Linked DNA regions of Daphnia pulex. The protein of the gene in region 1 purifies or fractionates together with the protein of each later gene. This does not show direct contact. Links are inferred from orthologs where the notes say so. Each region holds a gene or a part of one and is shown in the gene's direction. Other genes may lie near its edges. The genes, in order: E3 ubiquitin-protein ligase MARCHF5-like and dynamin-1-like protein.

Region 1 (7,869 bases):
TTCTGCTCATTGTTGTCTAGGCCGAGTAGACCCCATTCGCCCGTCGTCGTTCCACAAATGCAGCTGAGGAACACTAAATTGTAACGGTGCTTGTTTGAAAGGACTCGCATTAAGTTCTGTAGGTTTCGGTTGTTTCTCACACGGCAACTGCAGGAAAAGAAAGAGGAGCATCACGAGAACCTTGGCTAATAATTTGAACTCCACGCTTGAATCAGCTATCACGGTTTACTGTAATGGAGAATTTAATTATTTTTTAAGCAGTTTTACTTAAATCACGCTTTCAAGTATATTGTACCGATTTTGGTTGTTGTTTCCCCAAGTCCTCCGGCGTCGTCCTATAGAATCATCCAGTACGGAGCTGTTCCACGGGTTACTGCATGGGTCCGTATGCTGTCATACGGTGGCGTTACCATATGAAGCTTTTGTGGAGGTCTTCATGTTTTCATTGTCATTATGTTCCACCCTGATGTCGCACGGAAAATGTTCTTTCATTTCATTGGAAGGGTCCTGGAACGGAGTACCGCCGAAGCCATTGAATTAACTAAGATTCAATTTAAAATTTAATTAATTATTTAAGCCATTAATAGTTTTATGAGTAGACTGGCTGTAGCAACACAAACATGCACTACGATACTACCCAATCAATAATACAACAACAATGAACCTATATAACTCATACAGCTCGATCAATTTTCCCATCTTCTATTTCAACGTCTCCGTTGTAAATATCAGTAAAGATAACAAAAATGAAAATACCAACTTTTACCGGTAGAATCATGTTGATGTTGTCAATATTGATGTCTTGCGATTCTCAATAGTATGTCGTGGAACATTTATTTGCAGAAATTGGTGCTCTTCGTTTCGGCTGATGGCAATTCTGTTTACTTTGCTCGATAGTTACCGCCAGCGCGATTTTCAACTGAACCACTTCCACGAAATGTTGGACGATAAGAACGACTTCACGACTAATTCAACAACCCAATCTCGCCTTCTCGATCAACGTCGTGCAAACTCATATCACCTCGCGACAGGGGACACCTTCCAGGCCAATGGGTTTTCAGAGTTGATTGACCAAAACACAATACCACCAGATACTGTTGAGCGAGTTCCAACGATATAAATTCCGGACGATAGAACTTCGAGAGGCCGATTTGGAAGAAGTAGCGAAATAAAGTTTCTTTCTCAATGCGCCTCCCTGATAATAATAATTAATTTGGTAATTAATTGCTTTAAATCATAAAAGAAGCATTACCTTTTCGTCATTGTGAACATCGGAATTCATCTCCTAGCGTTAGATGTTGATGATGGTTGATTTCTTCACTTATCCTTCAGCAATCGTTCAGTGTGTTATTTCAACCTTAAAAAGAATTCAAGTTTAATCATTGATTGATGTAAATACAAGTTGAATTTACTTTCTTTGTCACACATCTAACGTGCTTCAGTTCCAGGCTGGAAAAGGTATTACGGTCGGCAAAGGACATCAACAATGATGGAAGACTCGGCTTAAATCAGATGATGGAGTTGAGCCTCTAACAATCCGATTAAAACGGACGCTCAACTACGACTGCGAAAATTCCCGACTGAATTGTGCCAATTGAGGTATCGATGATCGAAATGTTTTGCTGGATCTCAAGTGTAGGGCTGGTCTGAGAAACAGCAAAGTCACCTATTTATACAGATCGGATGAAATGGCAATACTTCGAGGCATATCAAACAGAGTGCGGCAGAGTGGGACCAAATTAGAAGAAAATCAGAAAGGGGCGAAATTATGGGACCATATGTTGATAGCTACTATCTCCATGTATCCCTCCATGTTATCTCGAACTGTCTGTATAATATAACCCTGCAAAACTAAGCACAACTAACTCTTACTCAAATATCTACGAACACATATGCACTATGTCGAAATCGTCGTATAAAGTAATAAAAAGAACTTAAAGATGAAGAGTTCAGGGATAGTCTGATCAATTACCTACACACGACGTGGGAAACTATTGAAGCCGTTGTACTCGAGCGTTGACTACTGCCGTAAAAGCCCACAATGAGAGATGGTGAAGCCTGAATAAACAACGTTTTACTTTCAATGAAAATTTAAAAAAAAATCGTGTTTTAATAATTATGACGCACATATATCCAGCGACCATAGAACTATCTGTAACGCCATTGGGCAACGAAAATAATTACCTGGAAGTCCTAGTTGAGTCTTCAGGTTGTACTGAATTCGTGCCATGCAAGCACATGATTTGTGAGCTCGTGATTTAATATCCAAGTACTACTTGTTGACCAATAAAAATTTACGTTGATGTATTATTCTTTGTTTACTTTTTTTAAAGTCATGTCTACCAGATCCAAACAATGCATCTAGAAAACATAAAAATTGATATGAATTCATTTGTTGCCTAAATATAATTGGAGTTACAATATTTATACCTTTTCATATTCCAAACTAGAAAGTGTAGAACTGCTGGATAGCAAAGATGATTTCAGCCAGGTAATGACAAAGAATACTTTAGCTTCTGATGAGACAAGAACAAAAAAATAAAATTATAATTTTGATTGGGTGAATAAAAGCAAGAAAAATGAGCATCTCAATTTCAATGTCTTCACCATTTGGTACATGGTATAACAAACTGCAGAACTTTGCCCAGTAGTCCAATTCTGAAACATAGACCACTCCTCCCTGTAAAGACCAACACAATGGACATTCAAATAGAAACTTAGACAACGGTACATGTATCTAAACGAGAAAGTTTGTTGAACAAACCCTAATACTTGAAGCAAGTCTATTATGCCTCAACAATAAGCAATCTTACAAACAAAGTGAAAGAAAAGTTTAAAAACATTCCATTATAAGTATTAAGTAGAAAACTATTGTGGCAGCATTGGAAACTTCTCAGTTATTATGGTAAATGACAAGGGAGACTTGATCACAAGAAAACTTTATGTCAGAGCTCGTTCACGATCGTCATTCAGCGCAGATAAAGTTGATCGAGTTTAAAAGCACGAACAAGAAAATAAATTACTAAATGAAGGCCGATAATTGTGAACAGAATCGTAACAAAACTAAGATAACATTAGTTGGGGTAATCTGTGAATCATTCATTCATCACTTGACGGATGCTCAGAACAAGAAAACGCGACAAACGTACCTACTCCTATACTTACAACCATCCTTACAAAAGTCAGCGGCACTCAACAGAAGAATGAACGGAATGAAAAAATAGAACAATGAACCAATTAACTATGAAGCTACGAACGAGTGGAAAAACGTGTGGCCGACTGCGAGAAATGATGATGATCTGATGACTTATGAGAACCCCACCTCCTCAACATCCCCTCGGAAATACCAGCAGCACTTTTAGGACTCAATTGCTAAATCCCTAAACACATTTAAATAAATTGCGTCATCGTTTCATCAGAGTAATCTGTGACTCTGGTTTCATTCATCGCTTCCTCCTCGGGGTCAACCATACTTTTTGAAAAAATCTAACTAATAATAAAAAACTATGTTATGTGTCTTTTCCCCTCCCCATTCTCGAGTAAGCTAATGTCGTCGTCGTGTAAACCTGTGTAAACCACTGCGTCAGATTGCCATTTCGTAGTTTACCTTTTGCTTACTTATTATTTCATTATTATGTATTTGATTAGAAGTTAGACTGCATAATTTGATTAGAATTTTTTTTCCTACCTCGCAACTCATGGGGGGGGATGCCAACACCCAACACTTATGACGTTTTATTCCAACTGGTTTCTGTAACGGCTCCTAGATGTCCCTGTAGCATTTTATATTGTGATAAACAACAGAAAGAAAAATAACTGAAATATCATGGAGTCTGAGACAGAAGAACCCGTCATTGAAACGAATCGCCGAGAAGATTTACACGATGATAAGTAAGTGAAAGCAATTAAAAACTTGAATTTGCAATAACTTGGTTGTTTTTTTTTTAGCAAAAGATATTGCTGGGTTTGTTTTGCTACGGATGAGGACGATCTTACGGCTGTGTGGGTGCAACCATGCCAATGTAGTGGGACAACAAGATGGGTTCATGAAAGTTGCCTCCAACGTTGGGTTGACGAAAAGCAGAAAGGCAATTCATTGGAAAGGGTTCACTGTCCACAATGCAACACCCAATATGTTATAGTTTTCCCTCCAATTGGTAACTTTCTTTTTACATTGTTGATGTTTAGTCTGTTTAATGTGATTTCGTTTTTAGGAAAACTCATCTTAGTTCTTGATATTGCTGACCGCATTATTTACAGAGTGTGCCCATTTATAGCAGCTGGTGTTGTCATTGGTTCTATCTATTGGACTGCTGTGACCTATGGGGCGCTTACTATCATGCAAGCGGTTGGGGCCAAAGAAGGACTTGCATTAATGGAACAGTCAGATCCACTTTTTCTTTTGATCGGCCTACCAACAGTTCCTATCATGCTTATACTGGGAAGGCTTGTTCGTTGGGAAGAAGCTCTCTTGGGTTTTCTGAATAAGAATGTTCCCCGGGTGCCCATTGTGAAACATTTACTACCCACTTTTCAAATTGCATCAGATTCTGTGCGGCCCCATACACAGGGTACAGAGCCACCGTTTTCTGATCCGGTTTCTGCTACCAGGGTGTTATGTGGAGCATTAATATTTCCATCAATGGCTGTTCTCTTTGGAAAATTGCTATTTCATCCTGTTCACTCCAATCTAAAGAAAACTTTTTTTGTAAGTGATGTGCTATATTTTTTAATTTTAGTTTTATACCTATTTATAGTAATTCTTGTCTCTCCAGGGTGGTATTGCTTTTTTGATGCTCAAAGGAGCCTTGAAAATCTATTACAAGCAACAAATTCTTATTCGGCAATATCAACGCCGTGTGCTGGACTTCGCCAAAAGGCCATCCGACGGAAAAGAAATAAAAACAAGCAGTAATACTAATCCGTAATTAGAAAGTATGAATTTTGGGATTACATGAAAGTGTATATATTAATCTTGATTTGGGTGGGTTAAGATCAGTTTGTGTATTTGAACACATTGATACATTTTTTTTTAAACATTAGTTACAGTACTGAAACTGTTTCTGTTGAGATGCTGCTGCAAATAAAACTTGTTGGAACTTTAACCTGTGTTGCTACCTTAATTAGTTTAATTCATGCTGTAGGTGTTTGATGTCAGGTCCACAGTAGGTCAAAGAGTCACACCAGAAAGAAGGTGGACAAGAAGTCTTTTTCAGCAATCTGATTTCAGAATTAGATGGCATTCCATCTTCTCCTGCAACATCTGAGTAGTAGTAGCAATCTCTAACCTTCCCACCATTCAGAGTGCCACTTGGATCATATGGAGGTGCCAAAATATCCAGAAAAGATGCAGGACCTCCAACAGTCCAAATTGTGTGCAGGTTGTGTTCAGAAGGTGAAAGCACAGCAGGGCTATCCTTCTCATTAATACAGGAGATGGGAAATCTTCTCGCCTTTAGGTACTGAGGTTGGTGCACTATAGAGCTGTTGGTTTGTCCAGGGAGATCAATTGGAGAGTAGCTTTGTACATTAAGGCTCCCATACAACACTTTCAAGATTCCGTACATACCTTTAATCAATCATCATTTCAACAATAATTAAAGTTTTCTTTAAATTTACATCTGAATCAGTTACCAACATGATCATGCAGGGGAATAGAAGCTCCATCTTTGAGGACAAATATACCGATGCTAACAGTCTGGTTTTCAAAAATTTCCATGTAAGAGACTGGTGCAGCTTTTGATGAAAACAAATTTAAGGGAAAGCGAGGCTGGCCAGAATAGCGAGTTAATCCAAGGTCGTCAGCTGGGCAAATTTCACTTAACAGCTGTCGTAGAATGTTCATGTTGTGACTAACATTTGCGTTGACGAAGGAACCGTTTGGTTTAGTTGCGAATGTTTGTACTGCTGTACGTATCACATTTTCTATTCGAGAACCCATACTCGACAACTTAAAAGGTACGTTGGTTTTTCAGATCTACGTGACTACAGATAAACATGACCTAGTTGGAACTTGGAAACTTGGGCATTAACAATTAAACACGAATGCAGATGCAGTGCAAAACTGGCAATGGGATCTCAGTTAGCAGACGACGTAAAAAAAAAGAGTAGTAAAATTTTTTAAATTTGGGATTGTAGCAAATAGCTATGGACGGAAGTATTTTTATCCCTTTAAAATATTATTTTATCCTATTTCATAAACATTTAAAAAAACTTTATAACCATTTAACTTATCACAACCCCAAATTTTACGCAGATCGATACATCGATCGGTAAACAAAACTTGAGTGATAATTTTCACTTTTCAGATCTTAGGTTTGTTTCAATAAATTAATTGCGGAATTCTTAATCATTCAAGTTTTTGTCTAGTCTATAAGATGTGTTAGCTAATAGATTTACGATTTACTACTTCCTACATCTTTCTATGTACAGGCATTTTTAAAAATCTATACTTTACGGTACTGTAGTTTCAATTTAAAAAGCAGCTGTAGTGTAGTCGACATTAAATCAATGCGCTATTTTTTAAGAAAAATTTGTATAATACAATTTTGTTTAACATATTAAATGAGAACATATCCAACCCGACATGCACATTTAGAGAATTTACTTACATGAAAAGGTTTAAAATAAGTTTTCCGATCAAGCAATATACTTTTAATCTAAACACTCAACGATCTGGTCGTCTGACTGGTCATCGCTGTCGCTCTCGTAATCACTCCCTTGCAAATCCTTCATTACCCGTATCTTAAAATTGGCGTAGGCATCACCGTGTCGAGGATAGTCGTCTTTTGAGTAGATAAAATCGTCATCATCAGACGACAATTCGTTAGTTGCATCCAAATACATTCCAGACATTTTCCCAATAACATCTTCATCACTTCTGAAATAAGATAATAAACTATTAGCATCAAATTGTGATTTTATTTTACAATTGGAAATTCATGATTGATATACCCTTGTTCTTCATCGGGATCTGTATCAGGATATTCATTGCGGTAGTTGTTTTCATCATTCGAATCGTCACTGTGGTCGGTTTCACTGTCTTCATGATCTCCAGAGTTGTAATAGGGTTGAACACTACAAATAATAATAACAATAAAAAATATGAAGATTTAAAACAGAATCCACACTGATTATGTGTACCTCATGAGACGATCAATGTAAGAGTCATCAAATGTTCCTCCTTCACAGTAGTACAAATCAAAGACACACTCCTTCTCATTTTCTTTCAATACTTCACACTTCTCTACAACAAGAGGGATCCCATTGCAAGTGGCAATTTCACCTTTTTCATGTTCTTCAAGTACAAGGTCATAAACTTTCATCGTATTTGTGGCATCAAGATCCCGGAATGTGTTGAGAACCTAATAACTAAACTTTAACCAATGTTTAGCAACTATGAGATTTATTTGAAAAATACCTTATATTTCTTTTCACTGTTTATAGCAACTGAACTTTCTTCTTTTCTTGACTGAAATGAAGAGCTTTTATAAGCCTTTGGAGTTTGACGGTGAGACAACAACTTTCCCTTTTCAACCAACTTGGCAATATTTTGCAAATTTTCTTCCTGTACAGTGCATCAGTAGAATTAATAATTGACAAACAAACATGAAAATCAAACCAAATACCTCATTCTCTGTAGATCCACAAAATTTGAAAATGTTCTCTTCAACTGCCTGTTCAGAACCTTCCACTTTAATACGTTTGGTTGCAAGAACAAGGGCTTCAGCTGGTTCCTGACTTTGTCTACGTTTAATTCTTACGATAGACGTCATTTTTGTGTGTAATTTTATTGAAATCCCGTTCAATTTAATGATTTGTTTCGAAATAACGACACAGACTTCGTAGTCTGTGGTAACGGTCTGCTGT
Region 2 (8,781 bases), about 9.1 Mb from region 1:
CTGTGATCCTTGTGCGGATGGAAAAGGGAGTTGCCATAGAGACCAGCATCGGAGTCTTGTATCCATCTCGCCGACTGTTAAGCCCACCCCCCCATCTAAAAGGGGCGAGAGGACAACAAAAAAAAAGACCCTGGGCAGCAGCAGCAGCACTCTGCCGAGATCACAGAAAGCAAAACACATACAGTACGAACCAGCAGGCAATACGTTCTTACTCTTGTTGTTGTTGTTGCAGAGATAAAATAGTCTAAAGTTGTCCGATCCGGTTAAAGACGCCGAGACGTTTAATCGGCGTGAAATAAACCTTCCGGCGACCCAATCTGCTCCTTTCCTTTTCTTTTTTGGTATTTTGTATTAATCCATTTAAAGACTTTGGCGCGCATTCGGTGTGGAGGTTAGGCAACTGGAAAAGACCAGAGCCTCAAGGCATTACAGAGCACCCGTCTTATTATTCTTATTAGAAAAAGAAGAAGCTAAAAAAAAGATGTGATAAGTCCATTAATCACGGACTGTGTGTTTTTCTTTCTATATATTCCGAGCCTGGGCTTTACTTGGCCAGGCGTCATCAATCAAGTCCATTTTCCTTTGACAAAATAACATTTTCTTCGTATTTTTCCTAGTTTACAATGTACGCAAACAAACACATCATTTAAAAAAACATAAATGTCTCGGCCGTTACAACAAACATATGTGACGACGACGACCATCATTTCTTAGACTTGCGGCGGATTTCATCTTTTTTTCGGCTTCTCTTTGCTGCTGCTGACGTCTTGACTTTTTTCACGGCTCCTTTTCTTGGCCGGTGACGGCTCGGCTTTCAGATGGCGCAAGTCGGCGCTGAAAAGAACCTGTTTTTTTTTATTTAGAATTTAAAATTTCAATCGCGTCCGACAGACAAATTTATTTTGAAAAAAGGTGTTGTCATACCGAATGGGCCCATCCAGCGTACGGTCCAAACAGAGATTGGAAATGAGCGCTGATCTCTTTGTAGACCTTGTCCGTCACACTTTTCGTTTGGCTCAGGTGCGGCACGTAGCTGGCCTTGGCGATTTGGAAGACGTGCGTGTCCACCGGGATTGCCACACTGTGATCCAGCGACATTAAACAGATGCAGTCAGCCACCTTTTTTAAATAAAAATAATAAATTTTCAATTTTTATAAAAGAAATGTCTGATATACCTTGGCGCCTATTCCTGGTAGAGTCATCAAGGCAGTTTTAGCTTCAGGGTAGGAAACGTTTCTCAAATTCATGAGCCAATCTCTGCCACCGTTTTCGACAATCTTGGCTGCAGACTGTTGGATGAATTTGGCCCGGTAACCAAAGCCCAGAGTTCTCAATCGAGATTCCACTTTGTCAGCGGCTAGCGATTCCAGCGCTGGAAATGAATAATAGGCAACGTCTTCGTGCGTCAATAATTGATTTCCATAGTTTTCACACAATTTTTCAACCATGCCCGTGATTCTGGGAATGGAGCAACATTTTTTATACTTGACATATTCGAGAAATGATTTTGGAAACAAACCTCTGGATGTTGTTGTTTGACGAGCAAATGAATGCAAACAGATTTTCAACGGGGTCCTGCCTCAGCATTCGCACACCTGCAAAATTCTTGGCAACTTGATTGAAATTTGGATCAGCTAGTGACCACTGCCTGTAAAGACTTTCCAAATCAATATCCAATTGAAAGTAGTCTTTGAGTATGTGTTCGTAATCAATACATTCCTTCAACTCTGTCTTTACGGCTGATGGGCTCGATGCTGGTTCAATTTTAACTGGGGGTTGGACAACACGATAATTGATGCAAGTCTCATCCTGAGTCATTAGCCACAAATAGCCTCCCAACACACCAATCCACTCGCCAGTGAGGGATTTTTTCCACCTGAGAATTTTAAAAACATGTTTTCAAATCATAGCCGACAGATTATCAATGTACTTTTTTCCCCAACCTGAAACTCTGTCCACAATTCAGTGAAATATCCAGGGACAGTTCTGCCATTTTACAAGGTATTTTCATTATTGATGTTGCTGCCATTGGAATAGACGTTAAAAAAAGCTCAAGGGATTATTTATTTATGAGTTGACGTGAAAGACACATTTGACTTTAAAACTGACTCGAACCGAGTTTTATCGTCTGCTAGTTTGAAAACATAAACAATAGTTAACGGGATTGCCCGATTACAACATTCCGCCCTATATTTTTTCGGATTATTATTGATTATCAAGCCAGTAACGTAGTTGATCTAATTATTTCTTGGGCGAGGTAATAAATTCTTATTCATCTTTGCAACTGACGTTCTTAAAAAAGAAATAATAATTTTATGGGCCATAAAAATATTTTTTTATCTAACTGCACTTAAGCGTGTGGTTATACACCTTGAGACATTTTTATAAAGCAGCAGCAAGAGAACATCAAATAATGTAGATAAAATGCGTTATCATTTTTTTATTGATTATCTGACTTTCCCTTTTCGTTCTGCGTTCCATGCCCTTCAGTTTGGCGCATAGAGTTGCCGCAAAAATTGATTTTCGTCATCAAACTATTTCCTTACTGTCGCAATAGCCGAAGCGGATTTCTCCTTTTTTGGAATCAGCATATTAAATTTTCTTTTTCATATTTTCATATTTTTTATAATATTGCAGCTGATGATCAGTTTCTTTCGAGACCGCCAGGTGGCCATCGTCGAGTTCTTTCATTGGTCTACCGTTGTCTGCTTAATAAAGAGCGGAAAACTGTTAATAACGTACACTGAAGTAATATACGGATTAGTTAGAACCCCACGTTCAAATATATTCACGTGTGGTGAACAAGCCGATCTTCTTTAAGCATGGAACAATTAATTCCTGTCATCAACAAACTGCAAGATGTTTTTCACACAGTCGGAGCCGATACGATTCAGTTACCACAGATTGTTGTTGTCGGCACGCAGGTACAGTAACATTTCTTTTTTCGATTCAGTTCCATCTTTAAGGCAATAAATAATTGTAAATTTTGTTCTTTTCCCCCCCTGTAGAGCTCAGGAAAAAGTTCAGTCATTGAAGGGCTTGTAGGCAGAACATTCTTACCGAGAGGAACTGGAATTGTTACACGACGACCTTTAGTCCTGCAACTTATTTATACCCCACTAGAAGATAAAGAACATCGCTCTGCAGATGAAGGTTGTTTGTGCAATACTCTTTTCATCTCATTGCAATTATTTCAAGGTCAATATTTTCAGGGACACTACACTTGGAAGAATGGGCAAAGTTTCTGCATCTGAAAAACAAAATATTTACAGACTTTAGGGAAGTCTTGAGCGAAATTGAACATGAAACTGATCGGGTAGCAGGGCACAACAAGGGAATAGCCCATGAGCCCATGAGCTTGAAGGTGATTGATTAGACTCTATTTCTTTGTTATTGCCCCTGTATTAACTGTGATCTAATGTCATTGTGCAGGTTTACTCTACTAAAGTAGTCAATCTTACACTTGTCGATCTTCCTGGAATCACAAAAGTTCCAGTTGGGGACCAACCAGAGGACATTGAAGCAAAGATTTATGAACTTATTTTTAGTTTTGTCAGCAATCCCAACAGCTTGATTTTGGCTGTCACTCCAGCCACGACAGATTTGGCTACTTCTGAAGCCCTCAAACTTGCAAGAGAAGTTGATCCAGAGGGAAGGAGAACCTTAGCTGTCATGACCAAGTTAGATCTCATGGATGCAGGTGAGTTTTTAATGTTTCAACTTCAATTATCTCTTCAGCTGGGGCTTAAAGTTTGAATTTTTTTAATTCTTTCAGGAACTGATGCCATAGATGTCCTGTGTGGCAGAGTTATTCCAGTTAAACTCGGCATTATTGGATTAGTCAACCGGTCTCAAAAAGACATACAAAATAACAAGGTAAATGCTCGACGCTATATACACATTGATTAGGTTTCTGGAGAAGTAACTTTTTCTATGTAAACCAGAGCATCGAAGAAGCGTTAAAAGATGAAATGAGCTTTCTCCAGCGCCGCTATCCCACTTTGGCAACCCGCAACGGAACGGCCTACTTGGGGAAAACCCTGCAACGACTCTTGATGCACCACATCCGCGACTGCCTCCCTGAGCTCAAAACAAGAGTCAATTTGATGATGTCACAATTTCAAGCGCTACTTCACTCGTATGGAGATCAAGTCAGAGATAAAAGTCAAACTTTGCTTCAAATCATCACCAAGTTTGCCTCGTCGTATTGCGCCACGATCGAAGGCACGGCCAGGAATATTGAAACCACCGAACTGTGAGTGACATTTATCAATTCTCGACAAACCAAATTCTTGCTAATAGTTCAGTCTTGCAGGTGTGGTGGTGCGAGGATTTGTTACATCTTCCACGAAACGTTTGGAAGGACTTTAGATTCTATTCATCCACTATCTGGTTTAACCACATTAGATATACTCACTGCTATTCGCAATGCAACAGGTCCCAGGCCTGCCTTATTTGTCCCAGAGGTAAAACAAAAACTTGTCCTTTATACATCATGCAATGCATTAACATGATTTATTTTACAAGGTTTCTTTTGAATTGTTGGTGAAACGTCAAATTCGTCGCCTCGAAGATCCTTCGCTGCGGTGCATTGAATTGGTTCACGAGGAGATGCAAAGAATCATTCAACATTGCGGCACGGAAGTTCAACAGGAAATGCTCCGCTTCCCTAAACTTCACGAGAAAATTGTTGACGTAGTCACTACACTGTTGAGACAGCGTCTTCCTCCCACCAACATCATGGTAAATACCGGTGGGGGTAAACTTGTTGTCCGCTCTGATTGAGAATCACGTTTGTTGTTTTAGGTTGAAAACCTTGTCGCCATTGAGCTCGCTTATATCAACACCAAACACCCCGACTTTCACCGTGAAGCTTCGCTCGTATCGACGCTAATGCATTCTCACATTGAAGAGCCTGTCTCTCAAAAAGTTCAACCATCCAGACAAGTTTCGTCGAAAAAACAACCAGTGCTCTTCCCTCCGGCTATTCCCAACGGCGAGGCTGCTTCTCCGTCTAGAGAAGTACGATTTCGATAACATTTTGATTCCAAAAGTTTTGTCCGTCACAAAAGATGTTGTTGTTGCTGCCACCGACAGATTCGCGTTCAGAAGACATCAGTCTCGTTGATTGATAGCAACGGTGGTGGTGCTCCTTTTGTACAACAAACCAATTGGCTGAGCAATTTGCTTCCGGCCGGACGAGAGGACTTGATGATGAACGATAATTCTGGTGAAAACACCCCGGCCGCGACGCCTACTCATCACGCATCACCCGTTCCACTTCAGAACCCTTTCGGGCATCAGAAACCGGTGAATCTGCTCTCGGAAGCTGTGCACCAACCCGAGCGAAAGTTGTCTGAGCGAGAGAAGAGGGATTGTGAAGTTATTGGTATACTACTACGTCAAACTTTATATTTTCCAGTTGAACAACGTCCCAATTAAAAAACAACTCATCTTTTCTTCTCCTTAGAGCGACTGATTAAAACCTACTTTTACATCGTCCGTAAATCGATCCAAGATTCCGTGCCGAAAGCTGTGATGCACTTCCTGGTCAATCACGTCAAGGACAACTTGCAGTCGGAATTGGTAACTCACCTCTATCGCCCCGATCAAATTGATTTATTGCTGGCCGAGTCGGAGCACATAGCTCAGCGCCGCAAAGAAGCTGCGGATATGCTCGAGGCACTTCAACGAGCCAGCGTGATTATCGGCGAGATTCGGGAGACCCATTTTTGGTGAAGTTTATACTCTCTCTAAATTCTTTTCGATTGTAGTGTGCTCTCCGTTATACGTGATCTAGTCTTTTTTTCTTCTTCTGTCACTCGATCGCTCATACAAAAAAAAAATTAAAATTTTTCTAGGGCTCCCCCCCCCCCCTCCTTTTTTTTCGTCCAGTTGTAGTCTGTTCCCAACTATTTTGCGAATTAGACATCTGAGAGATGGGCATAGAATATCGTAAAATCTCCTCCAGTTAGTATTTTTCATTCCACATTTACAAATGTAGTCCGATGTATGTTATTCTTTTTTTTTTAATTATTATTTTCAGTACAATAAAATAATGTTGAAATGATGGGAGGGAAAAACGTAAAATATTTCCAACTGTAGATGACCAAACTATTTAGCCCCTTTTTTTTTTAAATTTTGCCAATAGATTTTAGTGATGTTTATTATTTTTTTCTGTAATTGGCCTTCGGAGCATGTAAAGGGCAACCAGTTGCGCAGTCATGTTTGATTTCGGCATGTTTTTATCACCGTCCATTTTTAATCCAGTAGGAAATTCGTCATCGATTGACTCGTCGTCGGTTAATTCCACGAATGCCTAGTGCTGTATCTTTTTTCTTTAATGCGAAGATAAAAAAAAGAACTCTAGTCCAGCCCCTCCCGTCATCAGTGTTTTGTGTTGCCCAACTGTCGACGGGTCGGCCGGTTTTTGGGATATTTTCGTGAGATTAGTCGGCAAAGAAACGATAACGACGAATAATCAGGACGAATTACTCCTTTTCAAGTGTTTCACGGTTCACCTCCCTAATTTTTAGTGAATCCATTTGGCTGGTTAATTTTCTTCTTTTCAGGGTGAATTGAATAGCTTCGTTTTTCAGATGAGGCACAGCCTTGTGATCAGACGTTATCAGCGTAATGAGGGAGTGTTTTTTTTTTCTCCTTTCCGCGACTCGAAAATTCCCTGCACTCGAATGACACACACACTCACCCAGCAGATACACACGCACAGTTAAAAAGATAAGGGAAATCACTCGAAGCTCGTCGGCTTTCACGTGCCCAACTCTAGTTCTCTCGAGTACAGTCAACTGATCGGAAGCTCAACAGACTTATCCCTTTTCTAGAGAGAAAGAGAGAGAGAGAGTCTTTAGTGAATCTCCGGTTGCAGTCCGAATCTGATTCTCTAGTAAAATATCATGTTGCGAAGTGGACAAAGGAGGTACGGTGGGCCGCCAGAAGGCTGGACAGGGCCACCGCCCTCCAAAGGCGGAGAAGTATTTGTTGGGAAAATTCCCCGCGATCTAATGGAGAACGAGCTTCTGCCCGTCTTTCAAACCGTCGGCCCAGTCTACGAAATCCGTCTAATGATGGACACGAATGAGACCAACCGTGGGTTCGCTTTTGTGACATTTGCAACGCCAGCGGATGCAGGCAAAGCCATCCAGAAATTGAATCGCTACGAAATCCGACCCGGTCGATTCATTGGTGTCATCAGGTCCATGGACAACTGTCGCCTATTCATCGGTGGAATACCCAAAGACAAATCCGAAGAGGAGATACACAAAGAAATGTCACGCATTACAGAGGGTGTCGTCCGCGTTATTCTCTACAGGTAAAAATGTTTACTAGTCATACATTTACACCTGTAATTAAATACCTTTTTTTTATTTTTGGCGTGTTTAGTTCAGTAGTCGACAAGAAGAAGAATAGAGGATTTGCTTTCATCGAATACGAATCGCACCGAGCTGCCGCTTTGGCTCGTAGGAAATGCCTACCGGATCGGTTGCTGCTGTGGGGGAAGAACGTGGCCGTTGACTGGGCAGAGCCCGAACCCGTAGTCGAAGAAGAAATCCTGTCCAAGGTAAAAATTTCAATTTTCATTTCGTTTGTTTGGTGAATGGGAAAACAAGTCAAGTGCCGATAAAATGATTCACCGCTTTATCAATACTCTTAACGGGGCCTTCTTATCGTATTAAATTCTCCTTTAAACATGGACTTATCGTAATTTCAAACCGCAATATTCAGGTGCGTGTGCTCTACGTCCGCAATCTGTTGATAACGACGAAAGAGAAGGAATTGGAAGAGCTGTTTGATAGGGCCGGCAATGGCGGCGTTGAAAAGGTGAAAATCTTAAATGATTTCGCATTCATTCACTTTGGCAGCCGTTCGCAGGCCCAGCAAGCCATGGATGCTCTTCAAGGTATTAGATTCTCGTATATGCTTATTTCCTATTAAGGAATTACCCGTCTGTTAAATAGATCGCGAGCTGAATGGGATCAAAATGCAAATTACATGGGCGAAACCAGTCGGGGATAAGCCCAAACGTAGCAACGCACGAAGCAAATTGATAGCTTCCTCCACTATGTTGTTTACCTCGGGGATGACTCGTCAAACACGATATCCAGCGACAACATTTCAACAAATGTGGCCACACTTCACTTTCTCTCATCCTGGCGTTATTCAACCTCAAAACGGTCTACCGCTCCAGGCTTATCCGTCCTATCCGCTCTATCCCCAACAGTATAAGAAACGGAAACACATTTGAATAGACGTTTAAATTGATTGTTTGCTGCTCATTAGGAACACCTTGTATAACTACATGATGCCGGGTCGCAGACACAACCAATTACCAATTAATTTATATTGCAACGATTATCCACCTCAAACAACTTCGAATTTCATCGGTCAGCAGAAGAATGAAAATACCGTAACTTGATATGATCTAATCGTGTATCGTAGTGACGAGGTTTTACAAATGTTGTTGTTGTTTTTTTCTAGGTTTGCGCTGCTACCTCACACATGAACCTGTACATGCCCTGGACGAATGGAGGTTACACTGATAACGTAAAGGTCAAAACTTGATTATCTCCTTCCATTTTGTTTTGTCCTTGTTTCAATTCGAATTTTTAATTGTTATTACAGATACTCGATTCTTTGTGCCAATTGTACGATCTCGGTGAGCCAATAATCGAACTTCGCAAAGGCGTAGACGAACGTTATTTGGCCAAGGTGATATTGATTTTACAAACTAATTAGTGGTGACACTAAATCATTTTAATTAG

Evidence for each region.
Region 2: the proteins of E3 ubiquitin-protein ligase MARCHF5-like (region 1) and dynamin-1-like protein purify together in Homo sapiens (affinity purification with western blotting, with the first as the bait; 3 studies listed by BioGRID). This does not show direct contact. The link is inferred for Daphnia pulex from reciprocal best matches to the Homo sapiens genes MARCHF5 and DNM1L.

The regions. Positions count from the first base shown.
Region 1 is NC_060025.1:255,540-263,408, reverse strand, and holds E3 ubiquitin-protein ligase MARCHF5-like, read left to right. Parts: upstream 1-3,446; 5' UTR 3,447-3,539; intron 3,540-3,753; exon of another isoform or gene 3,754-3,767; 5' UTR 3,768-3,826; coding exon 3,827-3,891; intron 3,892-3,948; coding exon 3,949-4,157; intron 4,158-4,214; coding exon 4,215-4,708; intron 4,709-4,775; coding exon 4,776-4,928; 3' UTR 4,929-5,105; downstream 5,106-7,869. Other genes in the region: 2-aminoethanethiol dioxygenase-like, read right to left, coding at 5,124-5,569, 5,635-5,941; probable RNA polymerase II nuclear localization protein SLC7A6OS, read right to left, coding at 6,655-6,880, 6,955-7,077, 7,144-7,364, 7,421-7,567, 7,629-7,775. UniProt on the Homo sapiens protein: Mitochondrial E3 ubiquitin-protein ligase that plays a crucial role in the control of mitochondrial morphology by acting as a positive regulator of mitochondrial fission and as an important regulator of immune response.
Region 2 is NC_060025.1:9,331,548-9,340,328, forward strand, and holds the end of dynamin-1-like protein, read left to right. Parts: intron 1-575; exon of another isoform or gene 576-728; coding exon of another isoform or gene 729-845; intron 846-924; coding exon of another isoform or gene 925-1,119; intron 1,120-1,176; coding exon of another isoform or gene 1,177-1,459; intron 1,460-1,520; coding exon of another isoform or gene 1,521-1,877; intron 1,878-1,944; coding exon of another isoform or gene 1,945-2,030; exon of another isoform or gene 2,031-2,349; intron 2,350-2,638; 5' UTR 2,639-2,823; coding exon 2,824-2,925; intron 2,926-3,009; coding exon 3,010-3,154; intron 3,155-3,213; coding exon 3,214-3,365; intron 3,366-3,433; coding exon 3,434-3,701; intron 3,702-3,776; coding exon 3,777-3,877; intron 3,878-3,945; coding exon 3,946-4,256; intron 4,257-4,316; coding exon 4,317-4,467; intron 4,468-4,528; coding exon 4,529-4,744; intron 4,745-4,807; coding exon 4,808-5,023; intron 5,024-5,098; coding exon 5,099-5,390; intron 5,391-5,471; coding exon 5,472-5,740; 3' UTR 5,741-6,071; downstream 6,072-8,781. Other genes in the region: N-glycosylase/DNA lyase-like, read right to left, coding at 729-845, 925-1,119, 1,177-1,459, 1,521-1,877, 1,945-2,030; probable RNA-binding protein 46, read left to right, coding at 6,916-7,331, 7,403-7,580, 7,745-7,919, 7,978-8,239, 8,300-8,426, 8,498-8,569, 8,642-8,728. UniProt on the Homo sapiens protein: Functions in mitochondrial and peroxisomal division.